Linked DNA regions of Nothobranchius furzeri. The protein of the gene in region 1 purifies or fractionates together with the protein of each later gene. This does not show direct contact. Links are inferred from orthologs where the notes say so. Each region holds a gene or a part of one and is shown on either strand. Other genes may lie near its edges.

Region 1 (2,644 bases):
ATTTTCTTTCCACATTTTATTTAGACACTTTTTTTACAATCTTCTTCGTAACTAAATATTCTTGTTACTAATTTCTTCTCTTGCATGTTTGATTAAAACAAGTCTCACTTAGAAATGAGACCCCATAATTTAACAAGATTATGAAAATTTTAAAATAAACACGACAACGTGCTCTCAGATAAACAAACCAAAAAACATTGGTGAATCTGTGAATTGTTGGCCAGCAGATGAGAATTTTCCTTCTTAGAGAAATGTGGTTAAAACTTTGAATTTAAATCCTAAAGGTTGATTTTTATTTCAGGAATGACTGTGGATCATATCTATTTAGCAGATGTGTTAAACTAACTGAAGAGTTTTCATCCTGTTAATGTTGCTGGCCACAAAGGATTTTAAAAGAAAACAGTCAAATCAAACTGATTTTTCTAAAATAAAACTTTTATGCATCATTATTATTTACTAAAATAACATAAGGAACACCTGACACAAACCGCGGATGCCAAAAACCAAAAAGGCTGAATTTATCTTGCTGCTCTAAGATGTTTCAGCAAGAAGTGCAATTTAGGAATGCCACGACCCGAATGAGCGAGAATCTACACCAACATGAAAGCTGAAGCCCCAGTTTATGTTTATTTACAAGGTCAGACTCAATAAAAACAGAAAACAACAACTAAAGATCAATCTGCAGCTCCACTCCTCTTCATCGTGCATCAAAAACAACCACTGGAATCAATGAGTCAAGGAAAATAAGCACACACACACACACACACACACACACACACACACACACACACACACACACGAGAGAGAGAGAGAAAGGATACATCTCTTTGTTCTCTTCTTGTACATGATTCTGTAGCCACATTCTCTGCATCTGATCGGGTCGCGGGCCTTTATTTCGTTTTCAGTGTGACACTCTGCATAAAAAAAAAATATATACATTTATAAAGACATATAAATGTATTTCAGAACTGCTGCAAAATTAATTTAGAACAGTATAATTGTGCAAACACATTAACAATCGACGTTTACATGCTGTCAGGCTAAAATGGAATATTTACTAATAAGAAATATGTTTTAATTAGTCATAACTAGTATTTTTCTGATGACTTTTCTATATTTCGTGAATAAAACCATCAAGAATTGCAATGATAGTTGCTTCATCAGCAAACCTCCACAAATGTAGATCATTGGTTGCTGCTTGGGCGGCTGTAGATCTTTCTGTGTGTCCATTTTGTTCTATAAAAGACAGAAATGTAAACATTTCATCAACAACCCTTCTTCTTGTTAGCATGCTAACAGAAACAGCATGGTGCTCCGGACATTAGCTCAAAACTGCATAAACGTCTCTGAATTTGGTGAAACTGTATACGCACAGAGCACAAATTAAACCGTGTACATGCATTTAGTTAATTACTGATGAAAGGAAGCGAAATGACTCACCGTTTAACTGCGTAATTTGGGAAATGTTTACTGTTTTCACACACTAAACCATCCGCTTTTACGATTGGGTTTCTGCGCTTGCGTCAAATTTCTTCTTCTTGGTTTTACAGGACGATCGACACGCTTTACGTGCCTTTACTGTCACCCAGCGGTTTTGAGGCATTGTGAATTATTCGAAACACATCTGAACTGATTTTAAAAATTGGAAGCAAAGAATTTTTTTTTGTATATTTTATACTAAAAATGTTCCTGTCTTGACACAACATCCTCTTGAAAGCAAATCCACAACACGGGTGTTTCATTTTTCAATTACCGTTACGCTACAAATTCTGGCTTAATTTAGTATTCTTTTGGGACCTTATGAATAAATTAGACTTTATTTAGAGTTTTTGTTTTTGACTCGAGCCAAACATTGTCAATCTGATTCGTAATTGTGTTTTTGTAAAATAAAACAATGTAAAGTGCGCTTCCGTCCCGACAGGGGGCGCTGTCGCAGCGTCGAACACAAGAATGTCCATCATTTGAAGAGCTCCCCCCAGCTGGCCCTCCTCCACTAGTTTGTGACAACAACGAATCTGCCGACAATGTCCACGTCTTGACTACCACTGACAAACCCGCGCTCTCTTTTTCATACTTTGTTTGACTTTTGTTTCCGAGTTGGTGTACCATGGAGCCGTCCGCGCCTAAAAGGTTTGTGAACGTTTGCTTTGAGACCTCTGCTTTACCACCAGGCTAATGTAGGCGGTAGCTCAGGATGCTAATGCTAAGCGAATTCAGTTCTCTCAAACTTTCCACAGAGATAAACAAGCAGAAAGTAAAAACACAAAACCGGTTAAAACCTCCATTGAGATTATGGTTTGTTTAATTGTTTAGACGTTTTTGGATTTCGCGTCGTTGGGGGTGATTTCATTGTCGCTTCAAAAATATATAATAAATTAAATGTGTATTAAGGAAAATCATAATTTATTCGAAGTAACTGTTTACTTTATTTTGGACCGATCTATTTACTGGTTAGCTTAAGCTAGCACCTTTTAAGTTAATTAAATTTAAAATGTATTTAAATTTTATAAGACAGTAGGATTAAATTGTTTATTATCTGTTTAATTTGTGTACATTGATACTAGGTTGCATTAAATCCAGATTATGATCAAAGACCAAAAATATCTCAAAATTTTTTTAAACAGTATTTTTATCTAGATTTCAT
Region 2 (3,657 bases), on another chromosome or scaffold:
CTGGACAGCCCGCTCAACCTGTTGAGCTGGTGCTGTCACCTAAACATCCGTTGTGGCTGTTACTCACCAGGGGAGCAGATACCGTCAGCATCCAGGATGTTGTGTCTCCATACGGGCTTACGCGTGGCAGCGTCCAGCATGGGTCCCATCACTTTATCAAAGGTCTGGTTGGTGTAGCGACGCAGGGTGCACTTAGCGTTTTTGTAGACAAGGCACCGACCAAACCCTGAAAAGAGGCAAGTTGAGCCTTCTGCTGTGGTTGGGGTTAAATAACGCAGAAAGGCTCTCACCTCTGTCCAGCGAGGCCTTGTTGAGGACCAGAGCGTCCTCAATGTCGTAGCCGCTGTAGCTCATGACGGCCACGGTGGCGTTCTGACCTGCAGGCAGTTTCTCAAAGTCAATCAGCTCGATGGTTTTTGTTTTAACCATGGGCCTCTGAGGATAAACCAGCAGGTACATCAGAGTGTCGATGCGGTTCCTCTGGTTGTAGCCGATAGTTCCTAAAAACAAACAAACAAAAAAACAAAAAGTGGATGAGGAATAAATCATTAAAACAGCCTGAAACATTATCAATAAGTAATTTCCAGTTTGGCCATTTAATCTAATTTCAAAGGGGCTCTGGGGAAGACCCAGGAGAGTTATGACATAAAGCCTGGCCTCCCTGGAAGCCCTGACATTTGTCAGATGCTATTACCTCACAATCAGGCTACAAGCTCAGTGGCTGATAATAGGCTCAGGCCACACAACCAGATTTGCACATGTAAAGAGCTGCCCACACAAAACAGACAGGACAGAGGATATTAGTCCAAATATAGTTCCAGTCAGTGTTTTTGTAAAGGTGGGGGGAGGGCAGGAGCGGATGGATGGAGGTGAAGCAGCAGCCAATCTGTGTGTGTGTGTGTGTGTGTGTGTGTGTGTGTGTGTGTGTGTGTGTGTGTGTGTGTGTGTGTGTGTGTGCGTGCGCGTGTAGCTCTTACGAATGCTAGCCGGGCTGTTTGGGGAAGTTTTGGTTACCAGGGAGCTTGGGGTGCACACTCTGTGGGCTTTCTGCAGCTGAGCACACTGACCCCCCGAGCACAGCCAGAGCAGACACAATGAATTGCTAATGACACTCTGGGTGACTGGCAGGGAAAGGGCCTCCGCACACACGGCACAAAGGAAAACCTACGCAAGCGCCCCATGTTTGATGTCCATGCACACACACACACACACACACACACACACACACACACACACACACACACACACACACACACACACACACACACACACACACACACACACACACACACACACACACACACACACACACTCAATCACACATCCAAATGTATTCTGACAAGAAGTGGTGCAGCCGCAGAGCTTGTTCATGAAGAACCAGCAGGGCTGCTTGTATCCACCCTGTTTGTTATTCTAATGTCCTTTTTAACTCATGCAAATAAAAAGTTTAAACTCTGCAGATTTAGGAGGCTTGAAAACGGTGTTCATGTAAGATTAGAATACTGCAAGTGTGTGTGTGTGTGTTTGGGCGTACAAAGGGAGCGGCTCAGCTGTGTGTACGATGTGAAACTACCTGCTCAGATCAGGCTTACCCATGGCCTGCTTGCCCATAGCGCACTGGTACGTGTTCCTGGGGGACTGGTTGTGGTGGGGGTAGGGAATGAGGCCCGCACACACTCCGAGCAGCGTGAAGGGCTCGATCTCCAAGTGGGTCGTGTCTCTACAAAAAGGGCGTTTAAAAAGCAGCATGCCAGGATTGAGACAAACAAGGAGGGACGCGCTTCAAAATGTCCGCTTTCACGTTTCTACTCACTTGTTGATCATATGTTCATACAGAGCAATTTGGCAGTCGTTCTCCTCGTTCACATCCAGGTACTCCACCAGGCCTTCATGAAGGAAGTCCTCAAAGGTTCTGGAGACAAGTTAAAGAAAAAAATCATTACAATGATCAAAGAAATGATCAAAACAGGCTGTTTAAGGATAAAAATGGACTAAAATCTAATTTATGCATCTAGAGAGATTAGAAGGGGTTATGTCTGGTCTTATAATAGATCTGTTTTTTAATTAGGCCCGGTGTTGCCTAACTAAATTAAATGCTGACGTTTACCAAGAAGCTACCTCAACTCTCACCTGTAGCCTTGAGACAGATCTTCAATGTGTTTATTATTCACCATCGTCTGGCCCTTCTTCACGATGATGTACGGCCTGCAGGAGAAACGAAAAGTCATTTGAAGCCTTTAACGCAAAATAAAACAAGATTTATAGATATTTGTTTCTTCCAGCCTTGCCCACCTGCAGAGTCTACCTCCGTCAGATGAGATGTAGACGCAGCGGTCGGTCAGGTTGGTGGAGATGGACACAAACTCGTTGATGAAACCCGCCCGGCGCATGAGTCTGAAAGTGTTGACCAGCTTGTAATGGTCTCTGATCACACCCAGAATGTTTCCTGTGGACACAAACATGAGAGAGCGGTCAAAGTATAAAAGAAAAGCCGTGGTCTTCAGAAAGCCTGGAGACCTCACGGTCAGGACGACAGGGACATTTGGCTTCTCGATTCGAGCGAGATGACTTCAGGAGGAGCAGGAGCATCGAGCTGCACGTAAAACGACGGCAAACTGCACAGAGATTGAAACACTTCGCGACTAAATTTCAAAAAGAAAATTTGGCTTAACTGTTGCTTACACACCTCTCATGACCTGGCGGCCATATTTGAAACTTCTTGCAAAACCCAATTCCAGCACAAATCCTGCATGAATTCTTGCAAACTAGTCAGCAACAGTCTCCGCCCAGTGAGACACTGGATTCAGGAGTTTCCATCAGTAATACAGATGTTTTACAACAAACAGTAATGTGTGCAGTAGAGCTCGATTCAACTGTTTGATCACAGATGTGCTTGAACTCAAGGCTGCTGCTCTCTTCCGGTAGTTCAAACAGAGCACAGGCGGCTCAGAGCTTTAACAGTGTCTTTAACGTTTCGGCAAACGACATTTCTGAGTAAGCATTTCTGTCTCCTTTCACGTATAGTAATAATGTGCGTAAAGATTCAGAAAATTTAAAGCCTTTCACTCAAAAAAAGCACAAAATTCTGACTCCAAACTTGAAGCGTGAGCCGTGGTTTTGCACCCTGAGCCCTGCTGCGAGAGTGGAGTTTAAACCTCCTGCAGGAGGCTTGTTCATATCGGGTGGAGAACAGAGGTCTACCTCAGTGTGCACGTTGCCTCTGAACGCACCCTGAAGGGCTCCGGCACCTGCTGCTAATGACTAATTAAAGAGCATGGCAACTAATATAATGTGACAGTTATCAGTGCAAAGACAAACAAATACTGTAATTAAATGTCCGAGTTTTGACTAGAGAATAACACCTACTGCTGCTATGAAATTAAAAACTTATCAGCTCCTCTGCTAAATTAAACAGAGTATTTTCTTCTTCATGTTTATGAAGCAAAACGTGTTTAAAACGAGAAGAATTAGCATTTCTTTTAAAAAATGATCTGAAGCAACAGCAGGAGGTCTTAATTCTGCTTAATAATTCAGCTCCATTGGAGGGCGGGAGTTGTACCGTTGAGGAAAACCAGGAAGACGCTTGGATAGGAGAGCTCCTCCCCACACAGCAGGTTGACGTCTTCCACCCCAAGGTTGAAGGCCAGTTTTATAATG

Evidence for each region. Proteins that work in one complex are often made in the same cells at the same time.
Region 2: the proteins of polr2k (region 1) and polr3b purify together in Homo sapiens (affinity purification with mass spectrometry; 3 studies listed by BioGRID and IntAct, with this or other methods). This does not show direct contact. The link is inferred for Nothobranchius furzeri from reciprocal best matches to the Homo sapiens genes POLR2K and POLR3B.

The regions. Positions count from the first base shown.
Region 1 is NC_091759.1:1,441,167-1,443,810, reverse strand, and holds polr2k (DNA-directed RNA polymerases I, II, and III subunit RPABC4), read right to left. Parts: upstream 1,573-2,644; 5' UTR 1,441-1,572; intron 1,237-1,440; 5' UTR 1,231-1,236; coding exon 1,170-1,230; intron 915-1,169; coding exon 822-914; intron 721-821; coding exon 698-720; 3' UTR 602-697; downstream 1-601. Other genes in the region: stk3 (serine/threonine-protein kinase 3), read left to right, coding at 2,108-2,130. UniProt on the Homo sapiens protein: DNA-dependent RNA polymerase catalyzes the transcription of DNA into RNA using the four ribonucleoside triphosphates as substrates.
Region 2 is NC_091744.1:73,552,060-73,555,716, forward strand, and holds part of polr3b (DNA-directed RNA polymerase III subunit RPC2), read right to left. Parts: coding exon 3,560-3,657; intron 2,447-3,559; coding exon 2,293-2,446; intron 2,206-2,292; coding exon 2,131-2,205; intron 1,913-2,130; coding exon 1,814-1,912; intron 1,721-1,813; coding exon 1,593-1,720; intron 501-1,592; coding exon 291-500; intron 227-290; coding exon 68-226; intron 1-67. UniProt on the Homo sapiens protein: Catalytic core component of RNA polymerase III (Pol III), a DNA-dependent RNA polymerase which synthesizes small non-coding RNAs using the four ribonucleoside triphosphates as substrates.